Linked DNA regions of Alligator mississippiensis. The protein of the gene in region 2 purifies or fractionates together with the protein of the main gene of each other region. This does not show direct contact. Links are inferred from orthologs where the notes say so. Each region holds a gene or a part of one and is shown on either strand. Other genes may lie near its edges.

Region 1 (7,984 bases), on a different chromosome or scaffold from region 2:
TGCTGCCCCCAGTGCAGCTGCAGCTGGAGGTCTCCGTGGGTACAGCGAGCACGAGTGCAAGGCTCAGCATGCAGTGGCAGTGCCTCCATGCCAAGGGTGCATCACACCAGAGCTGGGAGCCTGCTGGCAGCAGCCTGGGGGGCAGGTGGGAAGGACAGCTACAAGGAGGGGAGGGAGCTGCACCCACCCTGCCAGCAATCCTGGGCCTCCTGCAATGCTGAGGGCAGTCACCGGCTACCCCGCCTGCAGGGAGCAGAGTGGCCAGGCAGGGCCACTTCCCTGTCACTGCAAAACCAGAAAGTCTCGTCTCTCCTTTCCCCAGTTAGTTCCTACTTATGGGGATGGGGGGAGGGACTGGAGAGGACCGAGTGAGGGAGAGGGCAATGCCCTGGGCTCTGCAGCCCGTGGGGTTACAGCAGAGCAACAGCAGCACGTCATAGCACGTTAGCTCCAAGACAGGCACAGCAACGAAGGCAAGGCAAGCGAGTCCCAGGGACAGGGGGATAGGGCACCCCAGGGTCCCACCGGTGTGCTGGCCCACCCTGAGCAGCCATTAGAGTGGGAAGCAACAAGGGTCAGTGCACCTCCAGGACACGAGCTCCAACCACTCATATTCCCTGGCCACTGCCGCAGGCACCTGCCACAGGTGGGTGAGGCGTCTCTAGGCTCCTCCAGTCCCACCGGCCACGTGTGGCCTGGTCTGAACTCAGTGCAGCAAGCACTTTGCCTGACTCCCCCGGCTGCAGCACCGGGGCAGAAAAGCTGTGAGGCCAGAGCCACGTGCAGCAAGCACCGGAGGGGTGGGCTGCTAGCCGCGAGCTGGGCTCCCACCGCGTCTGGTGGATCCCACGTTCCTCAAGGTGCCACTGACCCAGCCCCTGCTCCACGAGCCACGCGCCCGGAGGTCATCTCCTTACCTCTGCGTGTCCGACACGCACCACCAGGCCCAGGCCCAGCCCCCGAACACGTACTGCTTCTGGTCGGAGCCGCAGCAGCCACCTGCAGCAGAGCAAAGAGCGCCAGGGTGGAGGGTGCCGCCATGCAGGGGCACGCTCCCCGCGCAGCACCACATCCGTGTCCCGCCTCGCGGCCTGCAGCCAGCTGGAGAGCCACGGCAGCAGCGCTCTGCCCAGCAGCAAGGTTCAACCCAGCTGCCATGCTTGCAAGAGAGGCAACAAAGCCTTGGCTCAGGGCTACAGCACCGGGACTGCCAGGGAAAACCTGCCGGGGGGCCCCGGAGCAGCGCACGCAGGACAGGCAGGAGGAAGCTTCCCCCGCATGGGGCTGGCCCCAGGTCACCTTCCTCTGAGAGTGCAGCACAACGGCATTCCCTGCCTGAGGAGCTCGTACCCACTGCCCACACACGGCACCACACACATGCACGCCTCTCCTCCCCTCTCTGCCTTCCTCAGGCAGCAGCGCTGCATGCAGCCATCAGCTTATTGAGTTAGGAGGCAGCGTCCACGCGCCGTGTCCGCAGCGAGATGCAGCAGACAGGAGGCGGCTGGGCCTCGACACGGGGCTTTTCCATCTTGGCACGGCCGAGGCGCCACTTTCCAAATGCAGCTGGCTCCACAACAGCTGATGCTCGGAGGCCTCCCACGCCCCGCGCGGACCCAGCCCCCTCTTAGCGTACAGCCTGGCCCCGGCCTCTCCCTGCAGCCCGTCAAGGCAAGGGGACTCCTGCCAGCACTTCCCTGCTGCGCCGTTAACTCCACGTCGTGCAGCTCTGGCTCCGGCCGACAGGCACGACCCGCTCTGAGCCGGACACCGGCCAACAGCACCTGTGGGCTGAGCCAACCTGGCAGGAGGGGCAGCCCCGCCACATGATGACTGAGCAAGCGGCAGGGAGCTCTGCTAGGTCTGGGGGAGAGGGGCTGAACACATGGATGGAGGGCTGAAGCCAAGGGGCCAAGCGGGGACAAGAGGCAGCCGCGCCCTGCAGAAGCTTGCGGCACCCAGGGCGGGCTCCCAGGACACCCGTTCACCAGGAGCTGGCGGGAGTTGAGAAGTGGAGCTCACGCGCGTGCCCCGAGGCTGGTGTGCCGTGCCCCCGAGGGCGGCAGAGCTCTCAAGGCTGGCTGCACCCCGGCCCGGCCCGCAGTCTCCCAGGCGCACATCTCCCAGCCTCTCCCCGGAGCAGCTGCTTTGCACTGACAGCCCTCGAGAGCCTGCTGGGAAGCCCCCAGCCCCGCCGGCCGGCTCCTTCCCCAGTGCCTGGCACCCGTCCAGGGGAAGGGGCCCAGTGCCGGCGGCAGAGCTCCCAGGTCCGAAGGCACCGCACGAGACCGGTAGAGGCAACAGCGGGAGTCTCCTGCCGCTGCCCCAAGAGCCGCGATGCGGACACGGGCAGCGCTGGAGGACGAGCCCCACCGAGGGCAGGAAGCCCGAGTGCAGCCGGCTCGGGACGAAGGGAGAGCCAAGCCCAGCCCGCAGCTGCGGTGCGGAGGGAGGGAGGGAGGGAGCGCTCCGGGGATCAGCGGAGGCTGGCGTGACAGCAGGCCGTGCCTGCGAACAGCGCGTCCCCGCGCGGCACCCCAACACTCGGCCCGCTGCTGCACAGGGCAAGCGCCGTCTCCAGGGACAGGCTGCGGCCTGGTGACAGCTCGCTGCCAGCGCGGCCGCGGCACAGCACCAGCGCGCCGGCCTCCTCCGACACCCGCAACGCGCACGCGGCATCCCCGGCAGGTGCCGGCCGGACCCTGCCCGTCCGCGGCGCCCAGAGCTGCTTTCCGCTGCGGGCGGGCGGGCGGCCTCTCCCTGCAGCCAGCGAGCAGCCGGAGGGCGTTTGCGCGGCGCAGAGCCGTCCCGGCGCCAGCACCTCGGAAACCGCCCAGGGCACACGCTCCGCACCTGCAGTCCCCGCGCGGCGCCAGGCAGGGGCCGGCCCCGAGCCGCCCGCTCCAACCCCCCCTCCTCGGGCCTGCCCGCGGGCGGGGGGCGCGCGACAGCTGCCCCAGCGCCGCCCGGTGCCCCCCCTGCCCTGCGCCGCGCCCTTGGCCCCGCGCGCGGCCCCTACCCGACACGACGAGCGCCTCGTTGGGCCCGACCGTGTGGCAGTTCCCCATCCTGCCGCCGCGGCCGCTGCCCCGGCCTCGCCCCGCGATCCCACAACCCCCCGCGCCCGCGCCCCCCGCCCGCCCGGAAGTGCGTCACGGGGAGGGTCCGTCCACTTCCACCCCCCTACTCCCCCGGCCGCCATGTTGGGAAGGTCGGGGGGGAGGTCTGGGAAGTGGGGCCGCGCGATACCCCGTGCGCATGCGCCTGCGTCCCCCTTTCCCTTCTCCCTGAGGTCGCATCAGGCCGGGCGTGCGAACAGGTGCACGCGTGCCCTTCAGGGCCTGCCCAGATGTGTGCATGCGTAGGCCAGTGCACATGCACACACGTGTCCCGCAGGCCCACAACACATCCTTCCCAGAGGCTATGGCACGTGTGCAAGGGGATGCAGTTCCACGTGGGCGCAGGAGCCACACGTCCCTTGCACCCCGGGTGCCAGGGGAGCCCGCCCGGCCTGATGCCCCAGGACGCACATGGATGCGGAGGGGAAACCGCTCCCCTCGCACCCGAATCGGGCCCCCGACGCTGGAGGAGAGCAGGGCAGCGGGCGGCCATGGGGGCTCCCTCGTGGGCCCGGCCCGCCTGCAAGGGGCTCGACGGTCACAACAGGCTAACCGGTGAAGAGCAAGTCGGTGGAGTCCGGCGTCGCTATCCCCGAGGCCGCCCGAGACACACACGAGGCAGTTGTCTCCCCCGCGCGGCACCGGACGTCCAGCCAGATTCACGCAGCCGCAGCGCAGGAGGAAAGGGGCAGCAGGCAGTGTGGGGATCGGCCTCCGCGTCCGGACCCGAACGCAGGAGGCTGCGAGTGGGAGAGGGGGGCCAGCCCTGCTGGGACGCGCTCGCCCTCCCTCTGCCTCGGCCACGCGGACGCTGAGCGACACGGCCTGCTGCGGTGATGTTCTCACGTGGACGCCTGCGCGGGCACGGCGGGACTGGGCAGGACCTGCTCTTGCGTCCCGCCGAGGGGCTGGTCCGGTGCCGGGCGCGGCGCAGGAACGACTCCCCCGTGCAGAGGTGCAGGCATCCTGCTTTATTCAAGCCCAGTGCAGCCCAGCCCCAGACTGCACGTGTGGTCCCCTTCAGCACAGCCTCCCTGTGCCCACCGCCCGGCTGGCACGACACCGCTCGGGCCCTGCCCATGGTCCCCGTCGGCACCGAGATGCGCAGCGCCCTACGCGGCCAGCCCCACCATCCTCTCGCTGACCTCCCACAGCTTCCTGGCAACGGTGTCGTCCCGGGCGCGGGGCCGCGGCTCCTGCGGGCGGCAGTCGGCAAAGTAGCGTCCGCTGAGCGCCTCGATGCCCTCCTGGGTGGCGCAGTGGATGGAGGTCTGGGCTCCGCTCACGGCGTCTCGGAAGAAGAGCCAAGAGAAGGGCACGAAAAGCGGCCACAGCCAGGCAGGGACGAAGGAGAACAGCGCCGTGTTCACGACCCCTGCGGGCAAAGGTGGTCAATGCCACGGTGCCCGAGCGGCTGGGCAGAGCTCGGGGAAGCCCTGCGGCCTTGCGCCAGCTCCGTCAGCATGGGACACAGGGAAGCACTCTCCCAGCACCGGACCCCTGCACCCCAACGTCCCCAGTTTGCAGCACAGCACGAGGCGGCCGAGCCTCGGGACTCCGCGCCCTGCCTCGGGCAGACCCGAGGCAGCACCAGCCCCGAGGTCAGGCGGCGCAGGCTCACCTGGGTGCAGCGCGTAGCAGGTGACGCCGGTGCCCTCGAGCCGGCCGGCCAGCTCCCGGGCGAAGAGGATGTTGGCCAGCTTGCTGTCGCAGTAGGCCTGGAAGTTCTGCAGCACGCCCTCCACCGGCCGGCCCAGGCGCTCAAAGTCGATGCGCCCCGAGCGGTGGGCGCTGGAGGCCACGACCACGACGCGGCTGGGCGCGCAGTGCTTCAGGCGCTCCAGCAGCAGCTGCGTCAGCAGGAAGTGGCCCAGGTGGTTCACCTGGAACACCAGGTTGCAGCCGTCCGACCGCCGGCCCCCGGACGCGATGCCTGCAAGGGAAGGCGGCTCCAGCGCAGGCAGGCTTTGCAGGCCTTTGGTGCCAGGCGCGAGCCGCGGGCCTCACCTGCGTTGAGGACGAGGAGGTCCAGGCGGGGCTCGCAGCGCAGGAAGGTCTCGGCGAAGGCTCGCACGGAGTCCAGGCTGGCCAGGTCCAGGCTCATGAAGAGGACGTCGCTGTTCCCGGTGTCCTGCGGGGAGAGGGGGAGACGGGGGGCCGGGATGCGGGCACTGGCTGGGCACCCGCGCCCGGCCCAGGGAGAGCTCTTGGAGCCCGAGGGCTAGGGGTCCCACCTGGCGGATGCTGCGGGCGGCCGCCTGCCCTCGCTCGGCGCTGCGACAAGCCAGCACGACGCGGGCGCCGCGGCGGGCCAGGTCCAGCGCGGTGGCGCGGCCGATGCCGGCGTTGGCCCCTGCGGAGGCAGCGCGGCGTGAGCGGGGCCCTGCGCGGGCGGGCCGGGGCCGGGGCCGGGGCCGGGGCTCGGCGCTCACCCGTGACGAGCGCGGTGCGGCCGCGCAGGGCGGCCCGGCTGCGGCAGCGCGCCCCGCCGCCCAGGCGCGCGTGGAGCAGCGCGTACAGCCCCAGCGCCAGCGCGGGCAGCAGCAGCAGCGCGGCCATGGCGCCGGGCGGGCCGCTGGCTCCGCCCCGGGGCCCCGCTCCTCCCCGCCGCCCAGCGCCGGCACCGCCGCGGCAGCCAGCTCCTCGGAAGCTTCCTGCCTTCTCCCCCCTCCAGCCCTGCGTGCCTGGGGCAGAGCCCGGCCGGGGGTCTCCTCCGAGCTCCTCAGTGGTGGTCACAGAGTGAGGACAGACAGGCAGGAAACAGACTGGGAAGTATTTCGCTTTTTATATACAGAATACAGGAAAGTTTCTGTAAAGTCTAAAACATTACAATGACTATGTACATCGGAGCTAGCTGTCGGGGGCGGGGGCCAACGGAAGAGACAGACAGGCTTACGACAGACAATCTGCTACAATAGACAAATCGGAGGCAACGTCATCCCACATGGAGCACTGTACACAGCTTTAAAAACATTGAAAAATGCCGTCACGGATGTATTTACACAGAATCCAATACTTTCCTTATGCAAAGAGAGAGAGAGAGAGAGAGAGAGAGGGTGGACGCCAGGAAAAGAACTCGTTTCTCATTGCCCATAATACACAGTAGCAACTTGTAGTGCAACCACAGCAGGGGGGAGGCCTGTGGGGGAGTATAGCGCTTCTTTACATTAAATAAAACAATGATATTGTATAGATTTGCTGTATGAAAACTGTATTTTTCTCTTTTAATATAAAACTATTGTCACTGGCACAAAATAGAACAAGTTTCTGATTATTTTACAATTGCGCAGGAAGGGCCTGGCGGAGGGGGCCGGGCCACAGCGCCTGCTCCTCGCCTCACTGCAGTTTTCCTTTTAAAATGAAATGTATAGTACAAATATATGTGCAAATGCCCCGAAAACTTGAGCAAAAAAAGAAAATAATTAAAAAAAGTGAAACGTTCTTCATCTCATGCAAACGGCGTGAACGGTTCCTGGGCCGGCGTAGAAAATCCCCGCGGGGTTTGTACATGTTTGCATTGCAAGAGTCTCCGGCGAGGCCCCTGCTGCAGCACGGGGCCCCGGCCCGGGCTCCTAGGGAACGGAGTTGGAGCGCAGCACGGGCACCTGGTGGGGCTTCAGGGGGAGCTTCTCCTCCAAGTCTGTGTCTTGTGCTAAGGCCGCGTCCCCCTTGGGCTGTTTGGTCGCAAACTCGGTGATGCTGAAGACAAACTGCAGGCAGCCCAGCTTGATGTAACTGCCGTGGTGGAGCAGGGCCGTGCCCTCCCAGCCTGCCCCGCTACCCCCGATCAAGCTGGAGCTGCTGGCCTTGCAGTTGCAGGGCTTGCGGTGCTGCCCCTGCGCCTGCGAGTTCATCACAGCAGCGTCTTCGTGCGGCTCCTCTTCCTGCTTCCTGCTTTTGTGGCGCCCTGGAAGAGAAGCACAAGTCAGGCAGGCCGCAGTGAGCAGGCCCAGCACCGCGCTCCTGCTGGAGGCTTGTCTCACTCCGCCGTAGAGAGGAGACAACGCTCCTTCCGTCAACCAGGCTGCTGCGAGCCCCTGGAGAAACATCCGGCCCTCGTATAGGGGAAGAGGAATTGCTCGGCTGCACCCACGCCCGAGCCGCAGACCAGGAGTGCAAGGAAAGCATGTGTGGACGCAGCCCGCCAGGACCCAACTCAAAACCTGAAGCTTTCTGGAGAGGGCCAGGAGCGCAAGGGAACCAGAGCTCAGGTTAACAGCCCCAGAGGCTGGGCTGACTGCTGCAGAGGGCTCTGCAGACTGAGGGAACGGAGCGCCGGTAGCCACTGTTGAGCTGTGGGAAGCCCCCTCCCTTCTTTGCCAGCAGAACGCTGTAAGGAAACTGGACGGAAGCCGCCTGTGAGCACGGGCTGGGCAGAGGGGCCAGCTCTGCCCTGACTTACTTATCACGCTCTGCACTTTGGCAACAATGCTGCTGGGAGGGGTGGGTGTTGTCTTCTCGGAGAAGTCGCAGGAGTACAGGACGTTGTCTACCGTCGTCCCGTGCTCACTGTAGTTCAGCAGCTCGTAATGCTTTGTGTTCTGGAAGGGAAGAGGAGGGCACGCGTCACCCCCCTAACGCCCCCTCGGCCAGGCCGACGTGTGGGTGGGGGAAGGACCCGCCAAGGCCCAGCTTGCTCCAGATGCCAAGCCACTGCTTCAGGCAGTGGCAGGCAGCAGACTGTGCATGCGTGGCCCAAGCTGCTCTGCACACACTGCATGTGAGAACCGTTCCCACCATGGCCTCTGCAACCTTAGGACAGGGACAAGCTGCACGGCACCTGCCCAGGCCACCCACCCACTAAGGAGATCGCAGCAAAAAGCAGTCTCCCTCCTACTGAGCATGTGGTGCCTGCAGCACAGAAC
Region 2 (8,020 bases):
TGGTCTCTAAGATCTGCCTATTCCTTACTCTGCTCCATCCACCTGACACAGAGGGTTGGGGGAAAGAAGAGAAAGTGTATCCCAGTCATTCGTCGTGCCTCACCATATCTGGCACGTCAGACACTAATGGCGGGGAACAGGCAGAGACAGGCAGCTACTGGTACCACTACAGTAAACATCTACGGAGGTGTCGGGCAGAGGAAAACCAGCCTGAGGTGGCTGCTCCGGGAGTGTGCTGTGAAATGTGCAGGCGCCAAGCATGTGAACCAACTTACTTATTTTTTAGCTCTGAAGTGGCATCCATGTCTCTAAATTCTCCTGCAATGTGTACTATTCCATAGCAGGTCACTGCGAAGGCCAGTAGTGTCTGAAGAACTATCTGCAACAGAAAAGCCATCCCACGCATGAGACACTACAGCCTGCACACCCCTCACATCTCTGTCCTGCCTGCAGATGTTTCGAGTAACAAGCGCTTGCCTTTGCTCTTCATTCATGCAAAGTACTATTTAGAGGTAAGCAGCCAACCTCATCCCCACTGCAGAGAGCGCAGAAACAAGCACAGAGACATTTAAATAACTCTCCCAGGGCAGCACTGCTACGTGTTGGCAGAGCTTGGTCTGTACCCTACACGCTAGTTTGATCCATGCGGTGGGGTTCTTGGGGAAGATGCTGTATCCTTTGAGCAAATCCCTGCACTGTTGTGTGTGCTTGCAAATGCAAGTTAGTGGCTCCATGCTTTCTCCAGGGATGGCAATGTGACACCACTTCTTTCTCTCCTCCCCCCTGCTTTCTTCACTGTTCATTTTTTTTCATGTCACCAGTATTAAGAAAACTAATGCCCTCAAGCAGGTTGTGCCAGGGCGAGGCCAGCCCAAAAGAGTATTGATCAAGCTGATGTCAGCTGGCCAAGCCAGAGGGAGGCGGGCATTTGTGCTGCAGAGAGCAGGACTGAACAGGAGGATGTTCCACAGCTTTAACTCTAAGGCCTGGAATTGCTGGATGAGGTGCTCCAGCCACCGTGGTAGCAAAGGGGAGGAAAGTCCAGCTTGGGGGTCTGTCTCTCTGTCTGACTGGCACCCTTTGCAAGCACTGTAACACCTTCCTGGAAGCTGGGGCTGGCAGCGAGATGTCTGCCTGCAGATAAGAATCCAGAGGAATGTGCAGTTAAAAATCCCATTAAAAAGACAGAAACCCAGGAGAGAAAGCAAGGACCAAACTGTGTGGTTACTCTTAACCCTTTCACCCTGCTGCAACCATCCAACTTACATCTATTGGCAATGTTTCATCTTCCTTTTCTGTTAACCTCATGTAGGAGCGATCTACAAAACAGAGGTATTGGTAGGTTAGTAATGTATCAGGGACATTCTTCGAGGCAGAACTCTCTGTAACATCCAATTCACGTAAGCTCCAGGATTCCTTGTTATGCCCTAGAAAAAGGGGTTCATGCATGTCTGCTGCATCTAGCTTTGTTCCCACATCCTCTGCTTCACACAGCATCTTTGACCTGCCTCAACAAACGATTTCACTTTTTCCTTCATGCAGAACAAGTGTCCGCAGAGCAATCTCTATGAAGACTGGCTATTGCCAAGTGAACTGTCAGCCAGCCAGCACCACCCATACTTTCCTTCTCCCATTATACAAAAGCTGTTTCAGCAGGAGAGCGAGCTGTACTATCCGACTGTGTCTGACTGTTCCCTGTCAAACTTGTCCGCGTGACTCATGAGTGCTGCTAAACCGAAGTGCCTGGTTTTGTACTGTGCGCTTGCAGCCCAGGGGCTCCCCGCCAGTGCAGGCCACAGCCCCCTGGGGCTGTGCGAGAGCCTGTCAAGGGGCCACGTAACACTGGCGCTGACGTCTAGTGGGTTTCCTACCTACTTTAACGCCCTCGGCGTTCTGCATAAACATTTACATGGGAAAACATGGCAGGCGCCTTGCAGGACTCCACGCAAATGGACTGCTTAGGGCCCCTGCCCCATGTTCAAATGAAAGCCAGACAGAAACCGACTCTAGAGTTGTTGCACATTGTCAGGCACTAAATTTGTAGCTGCTCAACTCTTTCTATAGCTGCACGGACGTTTTTACGGTGTGATAATGACTTTGCATCTGTGGCTGCTCTACGCTGATTGCACAATTCACCAGACAGTCGCGTAACACATGTAGCAGGAGCCTTCAGAGAGACACGTGGGCTCCAGTTGTAGCGGACGAGCTGCCCGGGAGCTCGTCCCAAAGACTACGCACCCTCGGCCACCGCGTTCTTCATCTCCTCAGGCGGGAGCCCCCCCACCCCCCGACGAGCCTTGAGACACCCTGGGGACAGGCTGGCTCTTGGTTTCGACTCATGTTTTGAGCGCAGAAGAAAACTAGAGCAATCCCTTCCCTTGCAAAAGGTCAAGAAAGGCCCCGGCGGGGCCGAGTATTGAAAGCTACGGGCTCCTCGGGGAAACCTCTGCGGCGGTGCCGGCTGGAGGAGGCCGGGCAGGGCTCGTCGGTTTGAAATGCACGCAAAGGAGTCCTTTGTCACCCAGCGTCTCGCTCAAGGGTGGAGCTCGTCACCAGCAGATGTGGCGGATGCGGACGGCTCCAAAAAGGGATGGGACATAAACCCAGAGGAAAGGGGAACCAGCTGCTAGCGAGCAGGGGAGGGAAACGCACGGCCTCCCAACCACCGCGCCGGGGAGCCTGCTCCACTCCAGCACTTTCCTAGGGAGGAAGTTTTTCCTAATATCCAACCTCAACTTGCCTTGCTGCAGCTTGCGCCCATTGCTCCTTGTGCCGTCTGCCCCCGCCGAGACCAGCCCAGCTCCCTCGGCCTCTCCTCGCCATCATGCCCCCCAGCCCCACACAGCCGTCTGCCCTCGGCCTCGTCCACAGGCTCCCCCGGGGCCCAAGGCCGCGAGCAGGAGGGGGAGGGGGAACCCAGACACCCCCCTCCCCTCCCCCACAAAATGACAGCCGCCCCCCCCCGTAGTCTGGACCCCCCTCCGCGGGCCGAGGGGTTTCCGCGCCCCCCCCGTCACGTCACACGTCACGACTCACGCTGCGCGGCGGAGAAGGCGGCGTGGGCCAAGGCGAAGAGCCCGACGCCCACCAGCCCCTTCCACAGCGAGGCGGCCGCCATCTTGCCCTGCGTGCCTCCCCCCGGCCGCCTCCCACCGCCAGGGGCGCCCGGGCCGGCGGCGCGCGGCGATGACGCAAGAGCCGGAAGAGGCGGGGCTTCCCCCCGCATGCGCAGTGGGTGCGCGGGGCGGGGCGGGGCGGGGTTGTTCCAGCGGGGCCTGTCATGGCGGCGGCCTGGTCTCGCGCGAGCGGCTCCTGAGGGGACTGGCTCGGGGCTCGGGGCGGGCCATGGCGCCGCGCGGCGGAGCGGGGCCCCGGGCCCTGCTGCTGCTGCTGCTGGCGACGGCGCTGGCGGGCGAGGCGGCGGCGGGGGCCGCCGCGGCGGCGCTGGAGGAGGAGATCGTGTCGGAGCGGGCGGCCGAGCAGAGCCACCGGCAGGACAGCGCCAACCTCGTCATCTTCATCCTGCTGCTCACCCTCACCATCCTCACCATCTGGCTCTTCAAGCACCGCCGCGCGCGCTTCCTGCACGAGACCGGCCTGGCCATGATCTACGGTGAGGCCGGCCCCGCCGCCCGCCCGCCCGCCCGGGCCTCCCTCTCCGCGGCGGGCCCGGCCGGGGGTGCTGAGGCCGCTCGCAGGGGCCCGGCTCGCTCCGATGTCCCCCGTCTCTAGAGGCGCCTGTGTGGGGCTTCGCTTCTCGACGAGCCCTGTGGGCCCGCAGCCGCCCCGCACCTCGCTTGCGCCCCGAGCCTGGGTCCTCGTTTGAAGACCTTCCCCCCACTCACCCACCCTGGATACCTCCCCAAATGAGCGTGGGTCTTGTTAAACACCCCCCCCCCTCCCGAATAACTCTAAATAACTGTGGGTCTGCATTTAAAGACCTTCCTACTGCCCCTCACCCTGGATAACTCTCCAAACAAATGTCAGTCCTTGTTAAAGAGCTTCCCCTTTGCCCTGGTAACTCTCCACGTGAGCGTGGGTCCGAGTTACAGACCTTCCCCCCTGAATAACTCTCTAAACAACTGTGGGTCCTGATTTAAAGACCTTTCCCCCTGCCTGGATAACTCTCCAAACGAGCAAGGGTCCTAGTTAAAGACCTTCCCTTGCCCCTCACCCTGGATAACTCTTCGAACAAGTGTGGGTCCTCATTAAAGACCTTCCCCCGCCCTGAATATCTCTCCAAATGAGCATGGGTCCTAGTTACAGACCTTTCCCCCCTGTGACTAACTGTCTAAACAACTGTGGGTCCTGATTTAAAGACCTTCCCCCCACCCCTCATGCTGGATAATTTTCCAAACAAGTGTCAGTCCTCGTTAAAGACCCTCCCCCCTGCCCTGGTAACTCTCCAAATGAGCGTGGGTCCTGATTTAAAGACTTCCCCCACTTCACCCAGGAAAACTCTCTGAGCAAGTGTGGGTCCTAGTTAAAGACTTTCCCCCCCCCCAGCCCGGATAACTCGGCGAGCAGGACGTGCCTGCCGTGACAGTCTTCTCAGAGCGTCTCGAGTGAATCGAGGGTCCTCGGGTTAGCGAGGTGAATCCAAACTCGGGTTTCGTACCCGCCCTGCTTTCCGCAGAGCTCCTGGATTCACCTCTTCCCCAGGTTTGTGGGGACGTCTGTGCTGCAGTCGGAGGTGTGACTGCAGCTGGTGCCGACGTACCCGAGCTGGTGGTCAGCCAGGCCACGTACTGGTTATGGTGTTGCTGCCACAGCGGAGTTGCCAGCTAAGCAACTAAGTGTTTACCCAGGCTCTCGGGTGGGTGCGTCACCTCTGTGGTGTCTAAAAAGCAGCCTTGCCAGTTCAATTTCTTGTGCATTTGGGGATTTTCCACTCTGTACTTGCATCTTCAGCTTCTTCCTTGTTCCAAGATGCTTTTTCTCCTGAACGGGCAGCAGCTGAGCTCTTGCTTATGTTCCCGGTCTGAGCGGATTGGGCTGCAACCCCGGTCACCCATGGCATAAGCTTCCCTTTCTGGATTCGGGGATTTTCCTGACATCAGCCAGAACATGTAGGCAGTTTATAAAGGGATTCCCCAAATTGCCATGCAGCCTCTTTGCTAATTTCCCCACTAGGGATAATGGGTGTGATCCTCTTAGTATACCAGGTAATATTTGCACTACGTGTCAAAGATTTAGGAATTGCACTCGGGACTCGTGCACACCCCGGGATGTTTTGTGCCAGTTCGGTTTCACTGCATTGCAGTAAATAGGGGCTGGCATTAATGCAGCACATTGAAAGTGGGGTCTGACTATACATAAGGTTGAATCATAGAAAAGTAGGGCTGCAAAGGCCCTCAGGAGTTCATCTAGTCCCACACCCTGCTCAAGGTAGGCACCTCCTTGGCTACACCATCCCAGCCTAGTGCTTGTTTAATCTCTTGTTACAATTTTCTAAGGATGGACGTTCACCACCTCTCCGAGTAGCCTCTTCCAACCTCAGCACTTGGAGGCACTTGTTAAACATCTAAGGAAGTTGAGAGCACAGATCCCATGACTTGAAGGTGTGGGTGAGGTTGGTTCCTTCAGAGTTATTTTTGCTCAAACGTCCCTTAGATTTTTTTGGAAATTCCACCCCCACCCCCTGCATCTGAATTTGAGCTGGTGAAATTGCCCTGTTAAGAGCATTTGTCATCAGGGTCCTAATCCCACCTCTGGCTTCTTCTTTGGTAGTCACTGAGTAGAAATCACAGAGTAAATCATTATTCAGGGTGTAGAGTACTTGCCTAGCAGTGACTCTGTGGAGACAAATACCCTTTATAGGTTTTTGTTGAGTAGCTGGGTGGGTTCCAGAATGTGTAATGGTGTACAAGAAAGTACAATGCAATCTACTATGTTCTCTTGATTCATGTTAAGAATTTTTCATTTGTCACTCAGAACCAGCTGTTTCTAGTTCATAACTGATTAGGCTTTTGTTCCTTGGTATCTTCCAAGTATCAACTGTATTTGGGGGCTATAGCAGGGAGTGCTCTAGGGTATGGGCAGTGGGCCCTGGAGTTAGCTGAGTAATTTAAATGGTGATGCTTCTTGTCCAGATTCATTTAGTTTTTCTACTAATCAGAGCTAACCCAGCAAACTGCACTCTCACTCTGCATTCTTTACTCATGCATCTGGTATTTGTTCAACTTCCCTGTGTTTGTGTGTTTGAATGTGGTGATGATATGAGATAGCGGCTTGTGGGCAAGCAGCCAGAATTCCCGGTGGCACTTCTCAACTGTTTACTTCTGATTGTTCACAGAAAAGGCACTGGCTTGAAAGTTCCTGTAATCCATCCTTTTGACAAGCCCAGGAAGTCACAGGGGCAGATGCCTGTCTGTGTCGTACCCACCTGTTGCACAGCGGCTTGTGAGCCTGGATTCCTTGTACAACTATAAGCAAAATGGGGATGTTATTCCTATCAGAGCTAATGAAAATGCTCAATGAGCTGTCTAAGGAAGGTGCCCAGAGTGAGGTGCAGGTGCGCAGGAAAAAGAAGCTGAGCATTGTGATGCTGAGCAGGGAGATGGGCAGATAGGCAGTCTCATTGGGCAGTACTTAGTAGCACTGAAGGACTGATTTAGATCAGTGTTGTAGCTTTGTATTGTCTGGAGCTACAGCAGCACTGACGTGATTGAAATGACATGATTGAACCCAACACAAGGCGGGGGATACTGCTTTCACTTTCTCCTGGGTTACCTGACAGTCTGTAACTTGACCAAACCAGACCTCAGTGGGTTAAGAGTGTGGGTGGAGTGAGTTAATCAAGCCGGAGGGAGCAGTTGGGCTAGGCTTCTCCTCGTCTAGACAAGGCCTTATTGAGTACATTTTAGGAGTCTTCATTATCAAATGCTATGTAGCCAACATAGAAGGTCTCTTTTTTTATATTTTTCTATGCAATTGTTAGTTCTAATTGGTGGTGCCTGATGATGTGCTTATGGCTGAGCTATTCAAGCTGGCAGCTGGAGAAATGTAGATTTCTACAAAACCAAACAGAAAATGCCTTCTAAAGTTATATGTTTTGGGTTCTTTAGAGTGCAGAAGTTTGTTTCCATCTGTGGGCATAAAGTAATGGTCAGTGGGCAAGAATTAGCATAACACTAGTGATTGTGCATTACGCATGTGCCTCTGTGCTTTGAACACAGAAGATCAAAGTCTGTTACAGCCCTCGTACAGACAGAGCCTTGGTTTTCTGACAAAGTTACCCTGGTAGAAGTTACTGATTTTTGTACTAAACAGTTGGCACCATTGCTCTTTATGGAGCATAGTGTACGTGGTGGTGAGTGCTGTGGTGTGCCCACAGGTAGCGCACACCCATGAACTAGCAGCGCTCTGAATCCAAGCAACAGGTTCTTTCCTCCTCTGATGCCAGTCATCACAAAACTTGATCCAGTCTGCCTTGCAGTACCTTGCTCCATCTGCAAGCTGACTCTGCCAGGCAGAGCAGCATTCTGCACTCCTTTCCCAATCACCCACAGAGATTCCAAAGGATGCTAAGTCATCTTTGCAAGCATCCTGAAATCTGCGCAGCGGTCTGCTTCTCTTTCTAGACCCTTTGTGAGCTTCAGAGTACAGCACATTCTTTGGGATCCTGTGATCCTGTATTTGCTTGACATGACCAACATTCCCATGAGTGACATAGCAGCACAATTTAACACTTCCACATTTGTCACCCTGTCTATGCAAAGAATTTTACATAGTCATCTGATATGAAAGCTGCATATGTTTGACATAGGTTGTCCATGTTTCTGAGCCATATAGAAGAGTGAATAAAACATGTCTCATAAATAGATTTTCACTTTAATTGACAGTTTGTTATTGTTCCAGGCTCTGTTTCACAAAAGGCCAGAGTTCCTGGCTGCTTTGCTGATTCTACCAGTGAGCTCAGCATCAAGATCTACATTGCTGGTAACAGTAGAGCCAAGGTAGAAAAATTGGTCAACAGCATCCAGACAGGTACCATCTAGGATGATTTCAGGAATGAGTT

What was found.
Region 1: the proteins of MMGT1 (region 2) and FLOT2 purify together in Homo sapiens (affinity purification with mass spectrometry; 3 studies listed by BioGRID and IntAct, with this or other methods). This does not show direct contact. The link is inferred for Alligator mississippiensis from reciprocal best matches to the Homo sapiens genes MMGT1 and FLOT2.

Annotation. Positions count from the first base shown.
Region 1 is NC_081837.1:1,222,004-1,229,987, forward strand, and holds the start of FLOT2 (flotillin-2), read right to left. Parts: upstream 3,117-7,984; 5' UTR 3,069-3,116; coding exon 3,020-3,068; intron 1,000-3,019; coding exon 918-999; intron 1-917. Other genes in the region: DHRS13 (dehydrogenase/reductase SDR family member 13), read right to left, coding at 4,232-4,494, 4,741-5,052, 5,127-5,250, 5,354-5,472, 5,552-5,678; PHF12 (PHD finger protein 12), read right to left, coding at 6,692-7,026, 7,522-7,660. UniProt on the Homo sapiens protein: May act as a scaffolding protein within caveolar membranes, functionally participating in formation of caveolae or caveolae-like vesicles. May be involved in epidermal cell adhesion and epidermal structure and function.
Region 2 is NC_081831.1:80,138,955-80,146,974, reverse strand, and holds the start of MMGT1 (ER membrane protein complex subunit 5), read right to left. Parts: upstream 3,168-8,020; 5' UTR 3,119-3,167; coding exon 3,037-3,118; intron 1,320-3,036; coding exon 1,267-1,319; intron 380-1,266; coding exon 276-379; intron 1-275. Other genes in the region: SLC9A6 (sodium/hydrogen exchanger 6), read left to right, coding at 3,346-3,613. UniProt on the Homo sapiens protein: Part of the endoplasmic reticulum membrane protein complex (EMC) that enables the energy-independent insertion into endoplasmic reticulum membranes of newly synthesized membrane proteins.